2 linked regions of the Drosophila melanogaster genome follow. The protein of the gene in region 2 purifies or fractionates together with the protein of the main gene of each other region. This does not show direct contact. Each region holds a gene or a part of one and is shown on either strand. Other genes may lie near its edges.

What was found.
Region 1: the proteins of Magi (region 2) and RASSF8 purify together in Drosophila melanogaster (affinity purification with western blotting; one study listed by BioGRID). This does not show direct contact.

What each region holds. Positions count from the first base shown.
Region 1 is NT_033777.3:25,659,871-25,666,291, reverse strand, and holds RASSF8 (Ras association domain family member 8), read right to left. Parts: upstream 4,498-6,421; 5' UTR 3,878-4,497; coding exon 3,806-3,877; exon of another isoform or gene 3,659-3,805; coding exon 3,285-3,658; intron 3,143-3,284; coding exon 2,422-3,142; intron 2,355-2,421; coding exon 2,044-2,354; intron 1,983-2,043; coding exon 1,637-1,982; 3' UTR 652-1,636; downstream 1-651. Other genes in the region: Tnks (tankyrase), read left to right, coding at 5,505-5,700.
Region 2 is NT_033778.4:21,139,174-21,144,070, forward strand, and holds the start of Magi (magi), read right to left. Parts: upstream 3,089-4,897; 5' UTR 2,366-3,088; intron 623-2,365; exon of another isoform or gene 428-622; intron 60-427; 5' UTR 1-59. Other genes in the region: CG9406 (uncharacterized protein), read left to right, coding at 3,302-3,314, 3,373-3,610, 3,663-3,873, 3,926-4,024; Xbp1 (X box binding protein-1), read left to right, coding at 4,704-4,897.

The sequences.
Region 1 (6,421 bases), on a different chromosome or scaffold from region 2:
TAATTGAGTCGGCGGCAAGGGGGGGGGGGGGTTACATCGCCCAGCGGGGGGGCTCAAGGTCAGCCGGAGACAAATCATAATTTCCGCAAAAGGTCACATTGTCTCGGCGATGCATGATCCCCAAAACAGAGAAACTGGGACTCTCATTATCGCAATCATCGCAATTGAACATCATTTGGTGTGGAAGAGGGCCATAAAAACGGAGCGCTCCTTCGTCCTTTTTGCTGGCGGGCCACTTTAACGCTCTCCCTCGACCACTTTGTCGATTGTGTCAATGCGATAGGATGCCCCCAAAAACGGACCATTCAAATGTATGCTCCTTTGCCTCTTTATTTCCTACGGGCCACTTTCACTGACCCGTTCACTGGGCGACACTTTTTGAAAATTGAAAGTAGCGCGCGCTTCGCCAGGAAGTCTGAGTCGCGAGCGAAGGATATCGACAAGGACAAAAGGACCAAACGCGTTCGAGCACAGCGGCCAACTGAAGCTGGTGGCAGCATGTGTTGCTGATTTTGTTTTTCCCTCCGCACAAGAAAAGCGGCCGAGCAGCTAGCTTCGTGTGGCACAGGACTTCGGGCTGACCGTTGATTTCATTTGCGGAAAATTCGTGGTGTTTCAAAAGACCAAAACCAAATGTAAATACAGACAGTTCGTTTCGAGAAAATCATAAAAATGTATTTATTAGCTAATTAGATGTAATGCAATTACAATTTGTTCTAAATCGTTTTTAGTTTAAATGTAATAGTAATATATAATATTCGATAAATTGCATTTCCGTTGGTGTTTTGTAGTTCACTATCATCATCAGTTTGTGTAAATATTAAATATTGCTAATTAAAAACATAATACATCAAAGCGACTTGTGGGTTGTCTTTTAATTGTACGCTAGCAATTATGTATGTACTAATGCTTGATACCTTTGCAATTGTTAATGCTTCGGTCTTTTGTTTCGATATCCGGTGGCTAAGGCTAAGCACTTTAAAAGTTAAACTTTTCAACAAAGCATTGCTAATTTGTTTTTTTAAAGCTGCGCTAATTGCTAAGTACAATAAGTTTTGTGTAATTCGAATTGTGAATTCTACAATGAATAATTCTGTAGGAGACAAATCACTAAGGGCACTACTTATTCGTTAGAAAGGCGTTTTTAAATTACGATACTCTCGAATTATTGCAACAATTAAAATTCATTGTCAAGTTAACAACTAATGGCGAATTGTAGAGATTGGAAAGGGTTTTTGTTAACACGTAGACTAGCAGCAAAAATTAACCAAAAGTATAGCACACAAAATTAAGATTAGGGCATGTGAATATGGGACTCATTAACTACTATTAAATACAAAGTACAGTGCGGAATGTAGAGTAATAAAACGATTGTGATTTCAAATTTGTAACATATATCATTGCATTGAGAGATCCATAGAGTGTGATTGGAATGTAAACATACTAAAACAACAATCAAGCACGTTAATTATTGTAAATATTTTTAGAATATTGTTTAAAATTGTGATATTCATAAGGAATCCATTTCGTTTCAACTCCATTATGCATTCAAGATATGTTGATCAATTTGTTCCCAAAAACATTATTTTGTTGGAGGAGAAATACGTTTAGAAAAATAGTTCTGGGTATGTGTGACTTAAACCCACACACCATGAGGATTTTTACTGGTTGGAACCGCCGTTTCAAGTTGCCTGGGCGAACCGATGATCCGCCGGCTGCTGCCCTGCTTGTTGGGTCCTTCCAATAGATGCTTGATCTCCTCCGTGGTGGTCACAGTCAGGCTCTGCAAATTCACCTCCTTCATCTCGTTGACCAGCTGCTCCACCTGCCGCTTCTTGTCCGCGATGGCATGCTCGATCATGAGTAGTTCCTTCTTTAAACTATCTGCAGTTTTGTTTGAAGTGTCAGTGTTGTGCAGAGCCTGGTCGATTTCACTCTGAATGCGCTCCATTTCCATCAAGAAGTCTCGCTCCACAGTTTGCCTGAAACAACCAAGAAGTGTGAAAAACTTAAAACAAAGCAAGTAAATTGCTATGCACTCACCTATTGGTCTGCTGTTGATGTTGCTGCTCCAGCTCAATGTCATCCATCAGCAAGCGCATTTTGTTCTTGCATTGTAGCAGCTCTGTTTCGCAATTGGCCAGCTTGGATCGCAGTAGAGCTATTTCTGATTTCAAAGTCTTCTCTTGCTGCTTGACCAATTCGTTTTCCTCTTCCACATACTGCAGAGTCTGGAGCTGTTCGCTTCCTTGCCGAAAGATTTGATCCGCCTTGGAAATCTCACGCGAAATAGCATCCAACTCGTGGGCGTGGTCGCGTTCTTTGCTCTCCAAATAAACTATTTCCGTATCGAACTAAGCAGATAAAACAAAAATAAAATAATAACATTCCAAATCAATTTAGAAACTTGAATATTTGTACCTTTTGCAATTCCATTTGCTGGGCTGTGATCTTCTCCCGCTGAAACTTGATGAGCTGCAGCAAATCGTTATACTGCGTGGTCTGGAACATGGGCTCACCCTCCTCCATGGCCTGGCTATTATTGTTGATGCTATTAGTGTTGTGGCTGCTATGCTGATCGTAGTCGCTGAGAAACGGATTCGTCGAGGAGGAGGCATTGGACATGGTGTCCGCATTGCTGCTGGCCAAACGCTGCCCCTGGCACATGGGGCTGTTTCTCGGGGGTGGCGGGTCACGATATGGTGGTGGGACTAGAGCTCCATTCGCGGAAATCGTCGGCGTTTGCTTGTACAGCTCCGGTGAGTTGTTATTGTTATTAACAATATTGTTATTATTGTTGTAGTACATTTCGTTGGGACTGGAGCGTCGGAGTTCATTGCTGGATTTGCTCAGCTGGCTGTATATATGCTGATTACTGCTGCTGTTATTGTTGTAGAAGTCATTGTAGCCATTTGTAGGTGCGGGTGGATTGCTACCCGTGCTGGTCATGTCCAGCGGATTGGACAGCGATTTCTCATGCTTTGGCACCAGTGGTGCTACATTATTGTTATCCTGCGGTGTCAGCTGCTCCTGTGGTGGACTCGCCGGTGCTCCCATGGCCGTTTGTTGTGACTGCAATTGCTGCTGCTGCGGAATTCCCTTGACGATTCCAATGTTGTCAAACTGCTTGGCATCGTGGCCCCTGAAAGAGACAAGTTTTGTCAGTTGATGGTAGCCGCACAGGTGCATATTTAAACACAGTTTGTTAGCCTATTAACAATTAGGGCTAGGTAAGCGCTTTAAGGGGTAGTTTCCAAACTAACTAGCATATAAAAACCACCCACCCGAAACTTTTTTTCAATTCCTTTGTGCGGTAGCTGAGTTCGACGTTCGACTTTTGCTTTAGCAAAGTGGGCGCTGGCTTATTATTGTTATTGTTGTTCGGCCCCAGCGGCTTTTTTGTTGTTGTCATCACAGCATAGTTGTTATTATTATTATTGTTCTGCTGCTGCTGTTGTTGTTGCTGCTGCTGCTGCTGTGTTTTGTTTTCCGAACGTTGTAATATAAACTGCACATCATTTGCATACTCGCCCCATTTGAGCAGCAGCTTCATTGGATTCTCATTGGGGGCCAGGTGGCGTTCGTTATTGCGCCACCTTTCGATTAAAGTGAATCTGCCCACTTTTCCAGTGGCATGGGCCAAAGCAAAAACCACATCCTGTGGAAAATAAAACGATAATTAGGGCAAACTGACTAGCAAACAGAGCGCATACAGTTCGGGTCACATTAACAGCACTGCAGCAGTGTAAAATGCTTTAACAAGATAATAGTGCTATTATTTTGACCTCTGCTGTAGCTCACATACCTGACATGTGGTGTTCACTGTAACGCCGCAAACTATCCGCTGGATGCCCTCGACCCAAACTTTCAGCTCCATTCCGGCTAATTGTCGTCGAGTCGAGTCTCTAAAGATCGGCCAATTATTTTCGTTTCTTGGTGTTTCTGCTACCAGAAAATTGCTTTCTTGTGCCGCTCCAGCTGGAAATGGGGTTCTACTAATGGTTTTTGGCGCTTGACTGGCGTTCTGCTGTCGCGCAGCCAGCGAAGCGTGTTAGCTGCACTCCGCCTTTCCACTTTTCCGTCTGCTTTTCCCCAACCCCACTTTTCCTCGCCTGTTTTTCTTTTTTGCTTAATTTTCCGATCACAGTTTCTGCTTCTTCTTCACTTGCACTTATTCACAGCAACAACAACAACACGACTGGTTCCATACGCTTGCATGAGTGTTTGCTGGGCGTGCGGGTATGCGCGCGTGTGTGTGTGAGCTAGAAAAATTCTGATTCACTTTTCGGATTTCCGATTTGGTGATTACTTTTGTACTTCCGGCGCGGTAACTCCGTGGTTCTTCACTTTCTAGTAAGCACGATAATCTTGTTGTGAAGCAGCTCCACTGCTTTTGTTTTGATTTCACGGATTTTTAACGGATTTAATCTAAATTTTAAAAGCAAACATTGTTGTTGGCATGGGCATCCAGTCGATGCCAAAAATCGATTGCACCAACAGCCAACCAGGGATGGCCAAACAGGTGTTTTTCAAGCTATCGATAGCAATGCCAATTGGGATTGCATGTTGTTGTAACAGGTACTTGCTATTATTTTAAAAAATTTTTTTGAGATTTTTTCCCTAGTAATAGGCTTATGTGCTTATATTAGGATAATTGAAATTCCTACATGGCCTTTTCTAATTTAAGAATTCTAATTTAAGCTCATAAAAATGATGATCTTAATTTTTGTACCACCAATTGAATATTGTCTATTTGGTTAACAAAAAAAATTGTTTCTTATAACACAATATAGATGCAAACGTCTTTTCGCTTTTCACCAAATAGTGAGTGCACACTGAAGCACAAATTTGTGTAAAACCTTGTGAGAACATAAGCTATTAAATTTAAAAAATATAATTAATGGAAAAGCTTATGTGATTCGAGGACTTCAGTATTTTTTCAGAATGGCTTGCCCCGTCGCCTGGTCACACCGCTTGACTCAACCTGGAATATTCGACCACCCCGCGAACGGTCACTCTTACTCGGTCACAAAACAATGCAATATTTCGCGGAGCAGTGAATTAATCCGGAAATAATCGTCCGTGCCCAGAGCTTTGGAGGCCAAGTACCAGGGAGCTAGTCCCAGAGTTGGTCGCAGTCTCAGTAAAAACGAATCGTAGCCAACCGCGATCCTTGCAACCGTGCTGTGTCGAACCAAAGAAATCCTATTGATTTTGGGTCTGCAATTGTGCATTAAATATTAAGCAAAAACGAGGGCTGGTCGCGTGGCAGCCAGTGGCAAATTGTTGCTCCTGCGGCATAGGCAGGACACCTGGATACAGGATGCGGGCAAGCCAGCGACGGACAACGGCGAGGCTTGTGTAGGACGGGCAGAGCAACTGCTGGAGGAGAGAACTGGACTGGGAGTGGAAAACCCGAAAGCCCACTGAATATTGCGCTTGTTTTTTGTTGCCTATTTTTTTCGGGGCGTGTGTGTGCCAAAGCGTAGCAAACAAGCACAACAATGGCCAACAGCAGCCGAAGTCGGGCCATTTTGAGCGTTAATCTCGATGCGGTCATGGCCAACGATCCGCTGAGGGAGCTCTTCGAGGCCTGCAAAACGGGCGAGATCGCCAAGGTGAAGAAGCTAATAACGCCTCAGACCGTGAACGCCAGGGATACGGCGGGACGCAAATCCACACCATTGCATTTCGCAGCGGGTAAGTGAGATGCGATGCGGTTAGATCCCATCCAAATCCCTTCCAAGGACGGTCTAAAAACGGCAGCCCACCCCACCATTCGCCCAACGAAAGGTTGAAGGACTCGCCCAAACCCCCCGCTGCAGTGCGGATTTGGCCTTGAGCTAGTTGCGCCTGGGTGTGACGGGCGTCATTGTCGTCGCTCTCGGTCGGACACTCGCCTGCTCCAATGGCGTCGAGAGTTGACCTAGTTTCCATGTCGCTTCTGCTTTTGGCTCTGCCTCCTCTTCTGCTTCTGCTTCTCCTTCCACCACCGTTCTATGTGTTCTATATGTTTGGCTTGTTTCCGGAAGACCCCCTCTCAAAAGGGGAATCCCCCGTGCTGCCCCTTTTGCCGCTGCATGTGTGCGTGCGTGCTGCATTTAAGCATTTTCTATTTTCAAAAAAGACTCATACAGCTGCGGTCGAGATAATAGCACTGCATAATTAGCCATTTCAATGAGAGCTTTCACTGTCTCAGCACTGGAAATTGAATGTTTAACACACATATATCATCTGATTAGCTTTGTTTGTTTACACGTAGAATCCCATAGATAAAGGTCTGCAACATATGGTCTGATTGTATAGCTAACCTGTTTCGCAGGGTTTAGTTAGATGCTTGGCCTTTAAATATTAGATTGGGTAAACAAAATAACTCGTGCTAACATATTTATTTTATTTACATTTTTCAACTGTGAGTGAT
Region 2 (4,897 bases):
CTTCATTTTGCCGTTTAAATAATTGTTATGTCATTGAGCTGTCATTCCGGTTCGTGAAGCTGCAAAACAGAACAATCAAAAGAGAAACCATTAATTAGCAGTATGCAAAGTAATATAAACAATTACCATGTGTATGCATACAATAATCGTAAAGCAATAAAGAACGCTTCAGTTCGATTTGGCATGATGCTCATTTTTATTTTAAGATGCAAATATGTGCGACCTCTTTTAATATTTGCTAAAATGTATTTAAAACTGGTGTTTTAAAGCAATATATTTAGCAACCCAATAGAAACAGCTGAGTTCCATTAACTGGAATCTCAAGAGATTGGGAACTCTTGCTTGAAGATTTACAACACTTTATTATTATGAAATTCCTTAATACCCGCAACTTAAACTGCATGGCATGAAAATCATCGCCACATACTTTGAATATCCAACATTGCTGGGTGGTACCAGCTCGCTCTCCACCTCCAAACCTCCAAACCAAGTCCCAGAGCCAACTATCCAGTTAGACAGCTCCCGGCCAGACAAGCGCATTGTTCGATGGCTTGGTCCAGACTGCAGTTGCAAGTGGGGCCAATCAGTAGATTGTTCAGTTAGGCTAGTCAGTATCCATGGCAACCATAGCCGCAGAAAAAAAAACCCCTCCATTGTTGACATTGCAATTTAACGGCGAGCTGCTTCGACTTTCCCATGCCAGACGCATAGTTATAATTATTTTTGTGTGCATTTCATGGCGAGGTTTATCTTAAATTTTCGCCACTTAAAGCCATTTTTTGCAGTCTTCAAGTGCGCTTAAGAAAACCAGCTCGGTTTACTTGGATCCATATATAAAAAAAAAAACAAACTTTCTTTGTTTAATTTGGTGCAGTTAAACATTTGAGCCAGCTAGTTTTAAAACAAATTATATTTTCAGAGCAGATTGAGGCAAGTTTGCAACTCTCGCTACTTTTGAATATGCATTTATATGTATTTCAAAATAAAAGAGCTAGTTTCCCCGCTGCAAATATGAAAACGTTGACTCACGACACACACACAATTATGAGCGCGGGGTAAGGAATAAGAAAATTAACTGTGCGAAAAAAGGGGCATCAAACACGGCAGCAACATAAAGTTCCTCAAGCGAAAAATTTACTCCAATGAGAAAAAAGGCACAACGACGATCGTTGTGTGGATGGAAGCGGCATGGAGGTGGCCACAGGGCAGGGGGAGTACTCCGTGAGGCACACAGCGAGCTGCGGGCACCGCCAAGCCAAGAATTCCAGAAACGACAAACAAAACAACGGCGGAGAGAAACAAGTTTTTCAGAGTATGCCAGCAGATCGCCAGAAAACCGAAAACTGAACTAAGAACTGAAAACCGAAAAACGAAAACTGAAAACCGAAAGGCAACCCCCACAAGTACACAAAAGAAAACGTATAGAGTCCCTTTTGTGGATTACGATTTGATAAGGATTTGGATATTGTCTGTTTTCTGTGTCCCATAATTATAGGGATATTGCTCTAAAAGTACCAATTCCACTGCTCGTTTCTTTGAGTGTAGGGACACGTAACAGGAACGATCCGCGATGGTGGTAGCGATGGTGGTTGCTCCACTTGCCACACCGAGATCCTTCGCAGACCGCAAATGTATGTGCCCAGCCACCTGTCGTTTGAGCATTTCCCATTAGAGAAAAGCCGCAAAAGGAGCGGCAAGCAAAGTTGGTTGAAGGCAAGGAAGGAAAGGAAAGGAAAAGGAAAAAAAAAGATCGGGCCACTTTCGACAAACAGGCGGCGCACGACCAGAAAAAAAATGCCTAGTAACAAATGGCAATCAACAAGGGGAGCGGCTATGGAAAAGCAAGTGAAAAGCGAATAGTTAAGGCCACAATTTCACTGCACGGGGAAAATTCATCATCGGCGTTTATGGGCGCCTGAGGTTTACTGTGAAGTGAGTTGCAATCATATCCAAATGTGGTTAGGCCAGCACGTTATCTTCTTATTTTTGCACATTTAAGTTGGGATTTGATTGCATGAGGATATAACCTATTATTAGCAAAAGAAAGTCTTAACTGTTAGTACTAGTAAGCATTGATAAAAGCATGAACAGTTCTTCAGAAACTAGCAAGTTATGCTCGAAGTAAACAAAATCATCTTTTTTTCATGCAAATTGATCAGCAATCATGGAAACTAGCTTTCAACAGTCGAGTGCCAGATACATTTGCAAATATTTATCTTTTCACGCACGCCTCGCTAATTGCCATCGATCAGAGATAAACTTTCTATCGGGTAATGAAGCAAAGTGGTCAATGCCATGGGCAGAAATTGGAAAAATGTCAATGGGGGAGATAAATAACATTTTCAGTCACTTTCAAAATTCGCACCTTGTTTATTTCTGCTGCCGTTTTGAGTTGTTTTGCTTATTTATTTGGCTCGAAAACGAGTGTTAAGCGAGGGATCGATGATCAGTTTTGAGCATCCAAGTGTCGAACACTTTCCATTTTTATGGTGATTTTCGTTGTTTCTCTTTTTTTTTCTGAAAACGCGTATTTCTGAACACACATGCACATACACTTGTCAACACAACTGAGAGTTGCAGTGGCACTTGTTAACTGTGGTATTATGGCCAAGTTTTTGAACTTGTTGTGGGCCAAAAACCTCCTGGAAAACCCGTTGGAATCGCCGAACGACGTTACACACCTGCGACGATATGTGAAACGAGTTGCTCGTTTTCCATTTAACGCTGCATTCAATTGCAATTCGATTTTCCCGCAACGCGAACCGCACTCCACGGAATATCGAAAACAAATGAAAACTGAGGTGGCGCGTTGAGTTGAGTTGGAAAACCTGTTGCTGCCAAACGACGCACACAGATGCAAATGCTCAGCGACAACAAGCAAATGCAGTCTATTTCGTCCTTTAAAAGGCACTGGAAAGTCTCGAACTTCACTGTTTGGGTAACATGAAATCTTTAGCTAAACGATTGTCTCAACTTTAATTGCAAATTAATGGGAAACAAATTAAAAACACGAAACGAAAAACAAAACAGAAAACAAAATAACGCGACGCTCAACACGACTGCTTCGCAGGCAGTTATCGACTGATGCTTATCGGTCGATATTCACCACACCTAGTATGACCACAGGGGCGATACCCTTTGCTTGGCGCCATTATCGATTTCCGATCGTTATTTTCAAATTCGAAATATAAACAGCAAACCTTTAATAATGCTTCAATCAGAAAACATATAAATCAGGAAAAAATAAATCGTATTTTAAAATTATCAGTTTATTTATTAAATTCTAAAGTATATACCCGCGATGGAAGTTGGTGGTAGGCATTACATAAAATGAGCATCGCACCTCCGCTTGATATCACTAACCTTTTGTAGTTACCCTAAACAACGAACTCGAGGAAAAGATTTCGGAAGCATTTTGCATATTTGATACTCATGGCGATAAGTATATTGATTCCCGCAATGTCGGCAACGTGCTCCGATTTTTAGGTTGCGCGCCCACCGAAAAAGAGGTCGAAGATGTCATTAAAGCCACCGATTCCGTCGACTATCCAGGCGAAGCCCATTTGGTGAAGTTCATGGAACACGTTTCCAAACTGCTGATGGATCGACAGTTATTCAATATACTTTAGGTTTGTTTAGCAACTAACGATATTTGTCCACAGAATGGAACCAGCCTCGTCGGAAAAGCTTCTCGAGGCCTTTGAGACCCTGGATCCAGAAAATAAAAAATATCTGACCAAGGAGTACTTCGGCAAATTAATGGCGGAGGAAGGAGAACCTTTCTCCGCTGAAGAATTGGATGCTATGTGGCCTGTGGCAATTGATCCCATTACTGGACACATTCCCTACACCTTCTACATAAATCAACTCAGGGTAAGATCGCATTTCCCAACTACTTTTGATTGGATTCATCTAAAATTTCCAGCACAAGCCTGATATCTATGAAATTGCCGAGGTTATCAAGGAGGAACTAGCACAAGCCGAAAAAGAAAAGGGCAAGAAACCACAACAACCACTGTTTTAGATGCCCCTTTAATCAAGCAATTGCAAATAACGCGGAAAATAAATTTATACATTTTATAACAAATAATTTCCTTTCTCGTTTTTACTGTTCCACATTGAGATATAGACGGTCACACTGCCATGCGCAATTCGAGATGGCATAGTCGTTGTTCTATGTTTGGATATTAAAATGAATTGTGTGAAAAATTTAAGGAACTATTTTTTGTTTTAAGATATTGCCTGAAATGTTACAATATATTTATTAAATCCAATAAAAAAAAATTTACAATACATTTAAGCGCTTTTACAAATCATCGTTGCTCTAAATTAACTGAATTTGTAATCGATAGCCCGATACGTGCTGCTCCATCCCTCATTACCCCAACTCTTCTAGAAAAACACGTCAGCTTTTCACAGCCATTCGGAAAAGAACACGTCAGCAGAAAGGAAAACTGGTCGGTCGATATTGCAAAGGTGGATGAGAAAATTGCGTGAGACGGAGCCAGAAAAGCCCGAGTCGGCGGCGATGAAGAGATTCAAACCAGCAGAGCGTCCGAGAAGCGCAGTCGAAGTTCATGAGACGACCTAAAACAAGCAAAAGTTAAAATACGCTCTTACAATGCAAATCTAAGTGGAAAGTCGCTTTTCACAATTGCACACAGCACACAGCAGTTTATCATTTAGCCCCGAACCAGTTAAACATGGCACCCACAGCAAACACAGTGCTAATTACCGTGCCGCGGACAGCAATCACATCGAATAATCTGCCCAAATTGCGGCCCGCCCCCCTTACGGCAGCTCTGCTGAAGGTGTCGGCCACGCCCTCCGCCTCGCCCACGCCCTCGAGTTCGGGATACGCATCCTCGTCGAACATGGATGACGATAACATGGCTGC